Linked DNA regions of Macaca mulatta. The protein of the gene in region 1 binds, or shares a complex with, the protein of each later gene. Links are inferred from orthologs where the notes say so. Each region holds a gene or a part of one and is shown in the gene's direction. Other genes may lie near its edges.

What was found. The genes of interacting proteins can lie anywhere in the genome.
Region 2: the proteins of CRB1 (region 1) and PALS1 are in contact, whole or in part, in a crystal structure (PDB 4UU5), measured with the Homo sapiens proteins. The link is inferred for Macaca mulatta from reciprocal best matches to the Homo sapiens genes CRB1 and PALS1. Residues at the interface, in NP_957705.1 of Homo sapiens: Ala1401, Met1402, Glu1403, Arg1404, Leu1405, Ile1406; in NP_071919.2 of Homo sapiens: Lys261, Pro266, Leu267, Gly268, Ala269, Thr270, Val271, Arg272, Asn273, Ser281, Arg282, Val284, Val314, Asn315, Val317, Phe318, Leu321.

What each region holds. Positions count from the first base shown.
Region 1 is NC_133406.1:55,029,330-55,037,294, forward strand, and holds part of CRB1 (protein crumbs homolog 1), read left to right. Parts: intron 1-4,261; coding exon 4,262-5,218; intron 5,219-7,965. UniProt on the Homo sapiens protein: Plays a role in photoreceptor morphogenesis in the retina. May maintain cell polarization and adhesion.
Region 2 is NC_133412.1:140,470,269-140,478,233, forward strand, and holds part of PALS1 (protein PALS1), read left to right. Parts: intron 1-1,658; coding exon 1,659-1,736; intron 1,737-2,248; coding exon 2,249-2,395; intron 2,396-2,717; coding exon 2,718-2,879; intron 2,880-3,811; coding exon 3,812-3,889; intron 3,890-7,965. UniProt on the Homo sapiens protein: Plays a role in tight junction biogenesis and in the establishment of cell polarity in epithelial cells.

The sequences.
Region 1 (7,965 bases):
CCTGGCCAAAAGGTTTATATTTATGTCAGGGGTATGTGAAAATTCTTCAGAGGCAATTTGAAGGAGTGGATCTACAAGGAGATTTCATTGGAGAGGCTTGCTGCTGTATTGTGAGTTGAACCTTGCCCCTCAAATTGAGGGCTAGATGCTACTTTCTAAACCAGAGTGACCATAGCTTCTAGGAGTGTTCCAGTGTCATCTAAAGTTGGTGGGAGGGAAGGAACGGGCAACTTAGACTAGATTCTCCACCTGCCTAAGGAATCTAAAGATGAAAAAGTGTGATGACTCTTAACCCAAGGCGTCAGGAAAGAGAGAGAAAGAATTGTTGCTGGCCGGGCGCGGTGGCTCAAGCCTGTAATCCCAGCACTTTGGGAGGCCGAGGCGGGCGGATCACAAGGTCAGGAGATCGAGACCACAGTGAAACCCCGTCTCTACTAAAAATACAAAAAATTAGCCGGGCGCGGTGGCGGGCGCCTGTAGTCCCAGCTACTCGGGAGGCTGAGGCAGGAGAATGGCGTGAACCCAGGAGGCGGAGCTTGCAGTGAGCCGAGATCGCGCCACTGCACTCCAGCCTGGGCAACAGCGTGAGACTCCGTCTCAAAAAAAAAAAAAAAAAAGAATTGTTGCTGTGCTGTGTTGGAAAGCAAATGCGCTCCCCTCCTACTGCAGGTTAAGTGGACGTGAATCCTGTGGTTCAGATGGGGAACCCATGGTAGGAGCATTAGTAGGTAGTTTGTGTAAGAAGAGTTCTTCTCAATAGGCCTCTGTTGGAAGGTGAAAGAATCCTACTAAAAGAGTTGATAAAGAAGGAAGCAGGAGTAAACGTCAATAAACCAATAGCAAAGGGGTTGAGGGAGGAGCAAATATGAGCCGTCAGTAAAAGGAGAGGCAATGTCTGCCTGCCTTCACAGTACTCTAGAGTGAGTCCCAGCTGGAGGAATAGAGTGGGCTCCAAGGAACTCATAAGTGCCCCTTATAACAAATACCAACTTTAAACACCTCCCAGTCTCAGAAACCATGGAACCATATTGTATCAGTCAGGTGAATAATTTCTGTACTCCTTCCCCCGTTTTTTGACACCAACTTCAGTCTTCTAGGGGACAGAACACATAAATCTGAGGGTGGAGACAATGGAAGAATAGAAAGAGGGAAGAAGGCTTCCGAATACTCCTTCAAGACAGCCTGAAGTTAGCCTAGCAAAGACGATTTTATTCTAAATTGCATTGAGACTTTTGATCATTCTATGTGACTGGCCATTCTAATTGCTGTGGGTGTTTTTTTTTAAGAGATCGTGACACTACTATCAAATAGTAAGCCGAAAAGTCCTGGGGTCTGCTGAAGATTTTTATCTAGAGGCAATGAAACCCTTCCCCAGTTAAATATGTTTCAAGATAGGGCGGGAGAAAAAATCATGTTTTGCTTTTGTTATGCTGTATAAGTTATTCAATAGTTTTACCCTCAAATACTTGTTATTACTTTTTTTGTTCTTAAAATGCTTTGAAAATCAAGTTTAAGTAAAATATCTTCTAGTACAAAAGTTTCAACTTTTCATATTCAGTTATATTAAACTTATATTGGAACACCCCTTTAGAATATACTGTAGTTTACCTGTAATTCCTATGTCAGTTTTCTGTGCTTCCCAGGATGACTATATAACAAATAGATTAGTTCCATTCAGTTCTATTCTTTCTATTCATCAAACATTTAATAATTCATACCCTCAGCACTGTACAGGTGTTGTGGGTGGCTCTAAGTAAGATTATAACATGTCCACTGTTTTCACAGAGCTTGAAATATTTTTGAGTTGACTAAGCTTGTATGAAAGTAATCCTAGTACAGTAAAATATAAGTACAATAGAGTCCAATCAAGTGCCTAGATATGTAGATCATAAATGGCAGTAGATCATCAAAGATTAACATTGCATACATTTATCTAAAAGTTTACACAAAGAAAGCACTTTGGTTTTGAATCAGATTGAATGCATTATAAAAATATTTAATCACTTTAGGAAAGTCATAATGAATTCATTCATTCCAAAATTAATTACTAAATAGCTAATACAAGCCAGGTACTATGCTGTTTTAGACATACATCGGTGAATAAAACAGACATTTTCCTTCCATCAAGGAAAGCACAATTTGATGAGATTCTAGACTAATATGCTGTCCAAGTAAATCCCTCATATAAAATTATGCAATTTACAGGGCATTACACATGCCCACACTTTCTAAATAGTTTATCTCAATGACTACGGTACTATTTGAATTTTGTCATTAGAGGATAATTCTTTCTTACTACTTTTTAGTAATGGCCAATACTTATTGAGAACTTGTTATATACCAGACAATGTTATGAATATTTACATGTCTTATCTTGTTTAATCTTTAAAAGAGCCTTGTGATGTAAATGCTATTATTAATCCCATTCATAGATGAGGAAGCTGAAATACAGAAAGTGTGTGTAACCTGCTCATGATCAAGCAGTATAGCTGGGGTTCTGATCCAACATCATCAATATAGGAATCTTTGGATTAATTTTTTAAAAACACGCATTTGGGCATAGAGTTAAATGGGAAAATAAGACATGCATATTAATAACAAACAATAAATGAGAATACACTAAATTATTAATTAAAAAACAGTGTGTACGATTGGATTTTTTTTTCTTTTTTTTTGAGACAAGAGTCTTGCTTTGTCGCCCAGGCTGGAGAGCAGTGGCGTGATCTTGGCTCACTGCAATCTTCACCTCCCGAGTTCGAGATTGTCCTGCCTCAGCCTTCAGAGTAGCTGGGATTACAGGCATGCGCCACCATGCTTGGCAAATTTTTGCATTTTTAGTAAAGATAGGATTTCACCGTGTTGGCCAGGCTGATCTGAAACTCCTGGCCTCAAGCAATCCGCCCGACTAGGCCTCCTAGGATTACAGGTATGAGCTACCAAGCATGGCCAGGTTGGATTTTTAAAATTTACCTAATTTAGGCCAGGTGTGGTGGCTCGCACCTGTAATCCCAGCACTTTGGGAGGCCGAGGCGAGTGGATCACGAGGTCAGGAGATCGAGACCATCCTGGCTAATGTGGTGAAACTCCGTCTCTACCAAAAAAAAAAAAAATTAGCCAGGCGTGGTGGCAGGCACCTGTAGTCCCAGCTGCTCGGGAGGCTGAGGCAGGAGAATGGTGTGAACCTGGGAGGCAGAGCTTGTAGTGAGCCAAGATTGCACTACTGCACTCCAGCCTAGGCGACAGAGCGAGACTCCATCTCAAAAACAAAACTAGTTAATTTAGGGTCTGATGGTAAAAGTGCTTTGGAATTTACACTTTGCTCTTTCTACACCTCAATGTATTCTGTGAAAGAGAACTAAAAATATCTGCTTTGAAAACCTCAGAAAATTGTAGTGAGCACAAATATAATAATTTGAATGAAGATGTTGGGGAAACCATAAAGTCCTATGCATATGTCAGTTTTTATTGTTACTCTTTGTTCATCTGAATCTCCCTGGAAAAGCAACGGCCATCCCCTTTAAAAGGTGTTATACTTCTTCGTGTTACTTTTTTTAAAATGAATTCTAATAATTTCCTAATTAGATAGCTTTTTTGACTTGGAATCAGAAAACAAAAATAGAAAGTGAAGTTAAAACAATAAACAGGAAAGGAGCTTGTTATGGTGTACACATCATGATTTACACTAGCATTGTAGGGAAGGGGGAAACGGGGACTTCCATTCACCTTAGAAGCCCTTCATGGTGAGAGCTGTTTGGACTATTTATATTTCTGGCAAACTCTTAGGAATTATGGGGAAATATAAACAAGATATAAGACAAAATCACTGTTTCCAAGTAGAATAGAATGAAATCTACAGCCAAGGACAGAATATACAATGTCTGAGAAAAAAGTCCCGAAATAAATAAATTGTATCTTACATCAATGCCAAGAGCGATCTTTTTTCTCTTTTTGGTTTGTATGATATTCAGTGCTGCATGTATATCTGACAATGATAGCTGGAATCAATCACAGTGTTTAGCAAATTATCTATTCCTAGAGGAAGAATACAAAGCCTGCCATGACTGCATCTTTTTTCTTCACGACACATGTGGAATATAGAATTGATTTTACTTTCCCTTAATAAGTGTTTACATTTTACTCCATTACAGTTCTAAATCTGAGCTATCCATGCACTTCTGCAAGATTATACATGCAAATTATGTGAAACTTCTATTTTTGATGCGAATATATCTAATTTTAACCCTTTTTTATTATGTAACAGGAATCCACTGTGAAGAAGACGTCAATGAATGTTCTTCAAACCCTTGCCAAAATGGTGGTACTTGTGAGAACTTGCCTGGGAATTATACTTGCCATTGCCCATTTGATAACCTTTCTAGAACTTTTTATGGAGGAAGGGACTGTTCTGATATTCTCCTGGGCTGTACCCATCAGCAATGCCTAAATAATGGAATATGCATCCCTCACTTCCAAGATGGCCAGCATGGATTCGGCTGCCTGTGTCCATCTGGCTACACCGGGTCCCTGTGTGAAATCGCAACCACACTTTCATTTGAGGGTGATGGTTTCCTGTGGGTCAAAACTGGCTCAGCGACAACCAAGGGCTCAGTTTGTAACATAGCCCTCAGGTTTCAGACTGTTCAGCCAGTGGCTCTTCTACTTTTCCGAGGCAACAGGGATGTGTTTGTGAAGCTGGAGCTGCTAAGTGGCTACATTCACTTATCAATTCAGGTCAACAGTCAGCCAAAGGTGCTTCTGTACATTTCCCACAACACCAGCGACGGAGAGTGGCATTTCGTGGAGGTAATATTTGCAGAGGCTGTGACCCTTACCTTAATCGACGACTCCTGTAAGGAGAAATGCATCTCGAAAGCTCCTTCTCCACTTGAAAGTGATCAATCAATATGTGCTTTTCAGAACTCCTTTTTGGGTGGTTTACCAGTGGGGACAACCAGCGATGGTGTCGCTCTACTTAAGTTCTATAATATACCATCCACACCTTCGTTTGTAGGCTGTCTCCAAGATATTAAAATTGATTGGAATCACATTACCCTGGAGAACATCTCGTCTGTCTCATCATTAAATGTCAAGGCAGGCTGTGTGAGAAAGGATTGGTGTGAAAGCCAACCTTGTCAAAGCAGAGGACGCTGCATCAACTTGTGGCTGAGTTACCAGTGTGACTGCCACAGGCCCTATAAAGGCCCCAACTGTCTGAGAGGTGAGAGAAAGCTGACTGCTATGGCTGGGAGTGCCGTGCCTCAGAGCAGAGCAGAAACAGCAAAAACAGCCACACTGCTTCTGCCTGCTATGAAACATAATGACCCCACAGGACTTCTGCTGCTGGTTGCCCACTGATGAGAAAGAAAAGAAGAGGGCAGTGATGTGCATTAATTAATTTTGAGTGGATTCACAGGGCATAAGTTTCACTCATACAGAGAAGTAAAAAAAAAAATAAGCAGATAGCTCCTTTCCAAAGAGGTTTTCATCTTTGTGTTTGCAAAATGCTCTTGCAATTTTACCATTGGTTGCATATCAGAAATGTATGTAAATCTTATTTGAAAGAGAAATAATTCTTTTGAAAAAAGGACCCTTAGACATAAAATTTGTCAGTGCCACATACTAGCATGATATCTTGTGCATAGTAAATTCTCGGTACATATTCATTTCCTTGCTCTCCTTTCTATGCAATTCACACTTGCTCCAAAATCATAATTAAGCATAGCGTTTTTATAAAACACCAATTTTATTCAAAGGTATCTTTTCCAAGGCTGCCCTGGGGAAGACAGATAATATACTAGGTGTCTTAAGGAAAAAAAAAGAAAAGAAAATGTGGAAAGTAACAATAGTAGAACTTGGTAGATGCCATAAACTAATTGATCGAATTTCTCTAGTAAACCACAGTTTGAAAAGTATTTCAAAATCCTTAACTTCCAACATTGTTCTAGAGATTGCTGTTGATAGTGATCAATACGTACCTGTTTCTTTTTATTATTATTATCATACATTGAAAAAGTCTGAGATGTAATTGTAACAGACTGCTTTGAAGTTCAGCTGTAATTTACCCCAAGATTTTAGAGTAACTTGAAGTAGGACAACATCTGGTAAGTAGTCTTCTCTGCTTTATATGAAGTAAAATTAAAACCAGTCTTAGCCTATACTCTATTCCATGTTCAAATGTCTAAGAATTATTAGAAACTACTCAAGGGTTTCCCCCTGACCACAATATTCATTACAAATCATGGACCTGTTTGACAATGAAGTATGGCATCTACTAGCTATACGTAATATTTTAAGTAGAATGGCAAGTTGTTTTGTGATTTTTTTAAGGAGAAAAAGGGAAATTATGCTGAGGCAATGTTCACTTTTTGAAGAAAAATTTAATTGACCAAAGGCAATATTTTTACTACATATACAAAATAACAAACAGATGCTGACTCATTTTGACTGGCTTCCAGATGCAGTGACCCATAAGGTTAATACTGACCATGGTGATGTTAACTGTCCTAGTAAATAGATTCAAGAGATGCCAGTCCAGTGGGTTCTGGTTTTCTTTATTTTATCCAACTTGGAAAACCATGAACTTTTCAAACCAAGTTCCTGAATTGGTTACCCTTCCCCCGCTTCTCCCAGTTTCCTTATACTCCAACATTATTTGAAACTGTTTAACCCTCATGAAAATGTTTGACTTCAAAAGATCACTTTACAGAGAGAGAGTTCTGTAAAATCTTTTCTTTCTGAAAATTCTTGGTATAAATTTAAGGAAAATTATATTTTTCATATCACTTCTTCATTAGAAAATTAAACTATTCGGTATTTTCTGTTATCTAGAAGGAATGTTTCCTGGAGCGTTTACTCCCACTACAAACAATGCTTTTAAGCAGTAATGAGAACATGGAATCTTTCTGCTACTGTACATGTGTATTCAAGAGGGAGGAGACATACTAAAAAGCACAAAGGCAAACTTCAGCCCATTCATGACTTGCACTCTTATTTAGCTCAATGTTTTCCAACCATGGTACACGCTGTAATGAACAAGGAGATTGGATAGAAGATTTTGGTGGCTGACTAAACACAAAAGACATAGTGATTTCCAATAACTCAAGGTTGATCTTTTTAAAATAATCTAATTTATCAACAGAAAGAGTACTGAAAAGGATTTAACTAAGCTTAGTTTACAGAAGTGTCCATAAAGTTCTCTCAGCATATCTTGTGTTGACTGTTTGTAAGAACATGGAGCATTCAAGATATTACTACTTAGAATAAATGACATCACCTACCTCTTGCTCTCTGGTGAATATTTGACTTACAAAAGCAATTTACATGTCTCTTCTCTTCAGCCATATACCTAGATTTTGAGAATTTTATTCTCTTAGAATTGTAGTTTCCTAGATATAGAAGAGGCTTCATTCTATGATGGAATTTTTAACACTATTGTACCTGCCAAATGTAGTGGCTCAAATCTCTGCTTAAATACCTTCAGAAATAGAGAGATCACTCACTCCGTCTTGCCAAAAATTGCCCAAAAGTTATTTCCTTATATTGAAATAAAATATGATTTGCCTGTAGCTTTCCTTCATTGACCATGTTGCAATTCTGGAAGACATGCAAATGAAAATCTGAACTTGCCTGCTACTTGAGAATACTTAATATCTGAAGAAAAGTATCTTCGGCCATCTAAGCCATCACTTCTATTCGGGCTAAACTTCCTGTTTCTTCTAATGTTTGCCATATGACATAGTTTTCCACACTTCATCAGCTGCTTGCAGGTTTTGGAATATATTTGCTGCTTTGTATTCCTTCTAAGATGTGATGTCTGTATGTCCTTGATGATACAGTGACACAGGGCCACAACCTCCCTTATTCTAGAAAATGTGCTTATGCTTTTCAGCTTAATACAACATTGACTTTTTGGCAGCCACACTTCGTGATTGCATCATTTTTTATCATTGTCACTCATGATGCCAC
Region 2 (7,965 bases), on another chromosome or scaffold:
GGGAGTTCTAAATTTCTTTAGAAGGGAGGATCTCAGAGATGTTTAGGAACTGACTTAGAAGTGGGAATATGGAAAGAATCTCTGATACAGAAAATTATTATTGAGCTGACTCAGTGTAAAAGTGTACACCCTTGGTACATTTTTAATCCAGAATTATCTTCCCATCCTCAGAGTTTCTTCAGCTGTCAAAAGGTGTATGATCAAGACTACAAATTTCATTTAAAATTAATGTAGACTTGATAAACTTTAAAAGGGAAAATACCCTCTTTTAAAAACAACTTTTAGTTACCCACAGTCTTAAATCCTGGGTCTTAAAGCCTTAAAGCCTTGTCCATTGTAAGATTTTAGTTGAGTTCTTGGAGAAGATAATATTTGCTCTGCCATCCCGTTTATACATATAGAACTCTACAATTAGAAATATAATTTTCTAAGTACCAAAACCTGAGGACAGACTGGTTTTGGTACTGTCATTGCTTTGATCCACTTGCTATGGTAAAGTTAATTAATCCCCAAATTATCATCTCTTGGGTTTCATAGGGAAATTACTGATAAAATGATTTAAAATAGCCATAAAAGGTATAGAATTACTGGGTTCCTGTATTAATTATAAGTTACTCTTTTTTTTTTTTTTGAGACAGTCTCATTACATCATCCAGGCTGGAGTGCAGTGGCACCATCTTAACTCACTACAACCTCTACCTCATGGGTTCAAGTCATTCTCATGCCTCAGCCTCTTGAGTAGCTGGAATTACAGGCACACACCACCACGGTTGGCTAATTTTTGTATTTTTAGTAGAGACAGTATTTTGCCATTTTGGCCGTGCTGGTCTTGAACTCCTGACTGCAAGTGATCTGCCTGCTTTGGCCTCCCAAAGTGCTGGGATTACTGGTGTGAACCATTGCATCTGGCCTGTTTTAAGATTTTCTTAATCAGTCTTTGAAGCACCATAAGTAGTAGATAAGGAAACAGGCTAAAAAAATTTATAAGCAAGGGGAGTTTATCGTAGGAAGACAAAGATTTCTCGACTGTGGGAAATTTAATGTAATCCATTATGTTATGGTGATTGTTCCATTGCACTCATATAAATTCATCTTGTTAGACTGTCACTCTTTTTTTTTTTAATTATATAAAAAAATTTATAAAATAGAGACAGGGTCTCACTATGTTGCCCAGGCTGGTCTCAAACTCCTGGACTCAAGCAATCCACTTGCCTCAGCCTCCCAAAGTGCTGGAATTACAGGTGTGAGCCACTGCGCCCAGCCTTGACTATAACTCTTTAAGTTGTCATCTCTGATTTTAAATAGTCACATAAATGATTTAAAAACTATAAAATAGCAAGGTAACTGTTAGGACAGTTTTTCTTTTCTTATGTAATTATTAATGAATTTTATGGTATGTTGGGAGAAACTTTCAAGATGGAAGTATTTTGTCTATAGGCATAAGTACCAAAATCTTAGTGTTTTTTTTTTAATAAGAAGTACTGTTGTTATCCATAATAACAAGATTGAAAACTCTCATGATTCTTTTTGGTGATTTTATTTCTTACAAGCATTTTTTATTATTTTAATTTGTACTTTAAAAAAATATGACCCTGCATACAGGTGCTACTGATACTTCCTATAATCTAGGAAGAATAATCTTTATTTTTGTTTCTTAGGTACAAACTGTTTTGAAGCCAGTCCATCATAAGGAAGGACAAGAACTAACTGCTTTGCTGAATACTCCACATATTCAGGTAGAAAATGGACAGAATATTATATATGTGGTTTTTCCAGTGTTGTTCTTTTATTTTTTTAAATCAAAGATCCCAGGGCTGGAAGAGATGTCAAACATTCTCTAGCCTATTTTGATGTTTACAACCCCATCTATAACATAGTAGTTATTGTTGGATTATATATTTTCAGATTTAAAATGAACTAAATTATTTTGAAACAACTTTTTCTTTAAAAGTTAGGCAAAAATTCTTCCCCCCTTTGGTGATATTTTCTGTAAGTTTTAATTATCTACAGTGTTTAAGCCTTTACATTGATGTTATTTTATGAAGTTTAATAAGCATTTTAGACTTTCATAACCCATTCCAGAGTATGCCCTTAGTATACTTAACACATCTTTATTATTAGCTGTAATTAATTATAGCTCTTTTAAAGATTTAATGGTCAGAATACTATGTACATAGTGAGGTTAAAAATCACTGTGCAGAACTAAATCATGCTGTTACTTAAAATACCATGGATTTCTTTGAAACAGGCACTTTTACTGGCCCACGATAAGGTTGCTGAACAGGAAATGCAGCTAGAGCCCATTACAGATGAGAGAGTTTATGAAAGTATTGGCCAGTATGGAGGAGAAACTGTAAAAATAGTTCGTATAGAAAAGGCTCGTGATATTCCATTGGTAAGTGTCCCACATACTGTTTTTAAACAAGTGCATTTTTCTGCTGTTGTGTGCTTCAGAAGTCTGGTTAACTTCAGAATTCTAATGAATAGAGTATTTCTGAAGTGGAAAATGTGGGGGAAATGGTCAACTTTTAAATCTAATTATGATTACTCTAGTTGTGTAAATACATTTTTTCTTAACTGAAGGTTAGTATTGTTGAATAGAAAAAATAGAATTTAAAAATAAATAAATACTTAACAAAAATCATATTATTTTTGTTTTTAAATTAGAGAGAGAGAGAGAGAGATATATATATATATATGTATTTTTTTTTTTTTAGGGTGCTACAGTTCGTAATGAAATGGACTCTGTCATCATTAGCCGGATAGTAAAAGGGGGTGCTGCAGAGAAAAGTGGTCTGTTGCATGAAGGAGATGAAGTTCTAGAGATTAATGGCATTGAAATTCGGGGGAAAGATGTCAATGAGGTTTTTGACTTGCTGGTAAGTTGACACAGCTAGAAGAATGATTGATAGCTTTTAGAAAGTTCTTATTAGACTTTAAAATATTTTTTAAGTAACTGTTATGAGCGCTGGATGATTTCTAGCCTGATTTTTCCATGATATAACTGTTCCACAGTATTTGTTAGCAGTTTTATTTTTGGGTGGTACCACTGGTATTTTTCTACTTTCTGATGTATCACTATCACATATATTTTATTTTTCTGGAATCAGTAATATAACTCATTAATTCACTCAGTACATATTTATTGAGTGCCTAATATGCACTGGCCACTTGGGAAACAGTAACAAAACAAAGTCTGTGTCCTCATGATTTTTTGTGTTCTTTTATTTTATTATCTGTAATTGATTGTTGTTTTCCTAATAATATTAGATAAAGCAGTGCTATAGATCTGCAGCGTCCGGTATAACAATCACTAGCTGCATGTAGCTATTTCTGTTTAAATTAAGTAAAATTTAAAATTCAGTTCCTTATTCACATTAGGTGCATTTCAAGTGCTGAGAAGCAGTATGTAGCTAATGGCTACCATTATTAAGATACAGAAATAGCACATTTCCATCATTGGAGAAGGTTCTATTGGATAGTGCTAGTATAATCACAAAATCATTTCTGGACATCTTTTGAGGGCAATTTATGATCACTTTGTACATACCCACAGACCAGATTTATGGTCCTAGTTATTCAGCTTCTGTTATTACAGTGGAATCTCTACTATCTGCTGTAAAATCTAGAAACATCTTCACACACTTATTTTCACCCAGCCCCATTCATTGCTTTGGTAGAGCAAAATGCCTCTGGTCATTTAAGTCTGTGGAGGGGTTCTGAAATAGTCCAGTTTAGGGAATATAGATCATAAAATCATGGAATGATTTTCATAAATACAAATTTTAAAAATCTGATCTTTCTATTACAGTCTGATATGCATGGTACTTTGACTTTTGTTCTGATTCCCAGTCAACAGATCAAGCCGCCTCCTGCCAAGGAAACAGTAGTAAGTGATTTTTAAATGTTCATTATTTATGTGTTCCATGGCTGCTGTTTGCTTCTGTTACTGTTTACTGTTACAGAAATGTCACTAAGTATTTCCTGTACTCAAATACAGATAAATTCAATCATTTTTGTTTAAATAAATATGAACTATCAATGTTTTAAATTAGTAAACTCTGCACCTTTTTTTTTTTGGAAGGTGGGAGATGGAGTCTCCATCTGTTGCCCAGGCTGGAGTGCAGTGGTGTGATCTTGGCTCACTGCAACCTATGCCTTCCAGGTTCAAATGATTCTCCCACCTCAGCCTCTTGAGTAGCTGTGATTCCAGGCACATGCCACCACGCCCAGCTAATTTTTGTATTTTTAGTAGAGACAGGGTTTTGCCATGTTGGCCAGGCTGGTCTTGAACTCCTGGCTTCATGTGATCTGCCTACCTTGGCCTTCCAAAGTGCTGGGATTACAGGTGTGAGCCATCACATCCAGCCAACTCTGTACCTTTTTAAAATAAAAAGTAGAAAATAATTTCAGTTTCTGAATTTTTTTTTTTTTTGGTAGTTACAGATGGGTTAACTTAGTATGGGGTGGGGCAAGTGCTTTTAAAAAGTATGTGCAACCCTTATTTTAGAGTATATTGTTCTGTTAGACATTTACTCAGCTAGATCTATTAAAAGTTAGGCTCCATTACCATACAGTCAAGCAATTGCATTCCAAAGTACATATCCAAGAGGACTGAAAACATATATTCACATAAGAACATCTACATGAATGTTCACAGTAGCAACATTCATAGTAGCTAGAAAGTAGTAACAACCCAAATGTCTGTCAGGTGATGAATGAAAGACAAAATATGTATGTATGATGGGATATTATTTGGTAATTTTAGAAGACTAAAATACTGATACATGCTACAACATGGATGAACCTTGAAGAAATTATGCTGAGTGAAAGAAGCCAGTCACAAAAGGTCATTTATTGGTTCATTTATTTAAAATGTCCAGAATAGGTAAATCCGTAGGAGAGAAAGCAGATTAGTAATTCCTTAGATGTGGAGATAAGGAGTTATGAGAGAATGGTGATTGCTAATCAGTTCCAAGTTTCTTTTTGAGGGGATAAAAATGTTCTAAAATTGTTTGTGGTGATGATGGTACAAATCTGTGAATATACTGAAACCGTCCAGTTGTGTACATGAGTGAATTTTATATGAATTATGTGTCAATAAAGCTATTTAAAAATGATAGACTTTGAAGTGCTGAATTAACATGGAAGCTTGATGTATTGCATCTGTTATTCTTAACTTTAAAGCATAGCAGTTTGAGAAACAACACAGTTTCATTTTTCTCTCAATATTTCATCACAGATAATGCTTTATAATTTGGCTATCATTCCATGTTTTCCCTTCATTTTTTACAGAACACACTGAAGTTGATATTGTATCTGCAACCTACTTTATGTTTGCAATTTTTTGTAGGAAGAGAAATGAGGAAATATAGCTTGTCTTTGAATTCAAACAGCTTGATTCTCTGTGCATTGTGCGGTTCCTTGTATCTCTTCTGTGTTATGCCCTGAACTTCAAAAGTAGCTCTGCAAACTGAGGAAACATAACAGAGGGTTGGAATATGCTCCTACTTACTTATCTACAATAATCCACCCCTCCTGAGCAAATGACTTTTGTCTTTTAGAATGAATGTCGGAAGTTAAGCCATGTTTTTTTGTTTGTTTGTTTGTTGTTGTTGTTGTTGTTGTTGTTGTTGAGGTGGGATCTGGCTCTATTGCCCAGGCTGGAGTGCAGTGGTGTGATCATGACTCACTGCAGCCCTGACTGCCTGGGCTCAAGCAGTCCTCCTACCTTAGCCTCCCTAGTAGCCGGGACCACAGATGCATACCACCACATCCAGCTAATTTTTTGTACTTTTGGTAGAGGTGGGTTTCACTATGTTGCCCAGAATGGTCTCGAACTCCTGAGCTCAAGCGGTCCACCTGCCTCAGCCTCCCAAAGTTTTGGGATTACAGATGTGAGCCACAATGCCCAGCCAAGATGTGTTTTCTCAACATTTTTTTTCCTGCTATTCATGCAGAATTTGGAATTCTGTAAAAGAAAAGCCATTTTTTTCATTGATAAAATTAATCGAAGTGTTACATTGAAACTTGTTGATTCTCATTGTATACAAAACAGAATATCAAAGTAATTAATTTACACAGATTGTTTCAACCTAAGAATGAAATAACTTACTTATACTTTGGTGGTTATTTAACCCCCACCTTTCATTATTGATTAAGAATAAAAGGCTGGTTTAATCTGAAGACCAAAGGAATATAGGTTCATGGTGAATAATCTCAGGAACTACTTAACTGGAAAATGAAGTAGCTTAAAAATGAAGAAAGTGGGAGAAAGAGCAAAATGCCAGGCCAGGTCTATCCCTTTTAAAATGCAGCTTTTTCTTTTTCTTTTCTTTTTTTTTCTTTTTCTTTTTAGTTGGAGTCTCACTCTGTCACCGAGGCAAGCAGTGGCACCATCTGGGCTCACTGCAACCTCCGCCTCCCAGGTTCAAGCAGTTCTCCTGCCTCAGCCTCCCAAGTAGCTGAGACTACAAGTGCATGTCACCACATCCAGCTAATTTTTGTATTTTTAGCAGAGATAGGGTTTCACTGTGTTGGCCAGGCTGGTCTCAAACTTCTGACCTCAGGTGATCTACCTGCCTTGGCCTCCCAAAGTGCTAGATTACAGGTGTGAGCCACCGTACCCAGCCAAAAATACAGCATTTTAAGGTATTTTTGTATTTATTTATTTTTATTTTATCATTTTTTTTTTTGAGATGGAGTTTCATTCTTGTTGCCCAGACTGGAGTGCAATGGCGCAATCTCGGCTCACTGCAATCTCTACCTCCCAGGTTCAAGCAATTCTCCTGCCTCAGCCTCCCGAGCAGCTGGGATAACAGGCATGCACTATTTTTAGTAGAGATGGGATTTGATTTTGTATTTTTAGTGCCTGGTTGATTTTGTATTTTTAGTAGAGATGGGGTTTCACCATGTTGGCCAAACTGGTTTTGAACTCCTGACCTCAGGTGATCTGCCTGCCTTGGCCTCCCAAAATGCTGGGACTACAGGCATGAGCCACCGAACCCAGCCTATTTTCGTATTTAAAGTAGGGATCTTTTCAGAATAGACTGATGTGCAGTATTTTTCTTTTCCTTCTTTTCTCTTTTGTTTTTTGCTTTTTTTGAGACCGAGTCTTACTCTGTCACCCAGGCTGGAGTACAGTGGTGCCATCTCGGCTCACTGCAACCCTGCCTCCTGGCTTCAAGCATTCTCCTGACTCAGCCTCCCAAGTAGCTGGGATTACAGGCGCCCGCCAACATGCCTGGCTGAATTTTTTTTTTTTTTGTATTTTTAGTAGAGACAGAGTTCCACCATGTTGGCCAGGCTGGTCTTGAACTCCTGACCTCTGGTGGTCTGCCCACCTTGGCCTCCCAAAGTGCTGGGATTACAGGCATGAGCCACCACATCCAGCCCCTCTTTTCTCTTTTTATTATGAACAACTCTCAATTGCAATGTATCTTGCCAAGTTTTGTCAAACCTAACTGGCTTAAAATGAACTGCTGTTATTAAAGCTCACTGAGGCTGTCCAGAAAGGAAACAGTAATAGGAACTCATAATCTTGGTTGACATATGCAGAATAATTATCTATGGAATTAATGATCTAAAGAAATTAGAACCAGTTATTGAGTATCATTATGGTACAGGTCAGCATCCGTTGAGAGCAGCAGCAGATATCTTTCTGATTTATGTTTTGTGATGTTAGAAGCACGTTTAAGACAGATATACAAAATAAGTGTTATCTGAAACTCCTATATAATCACTTGTTGAATTATGATGTCATGTATGGCAATAATAAGCTGTGTCAGGAGAAGTACTCTCTTGAGTTCTTAAATTTCTTTTGTATCACACATAGCAATCAGTGGCTGCTCTTTCAGTAGCAGAGGGCAAGAGTCTTGGCACCTTCGTATTTCACTTCCTGGGTAACCAGCACATTTGACCTAGGAAACTGATACAGTATTCAAACTGTGCAGTTTCCTTCTCTCA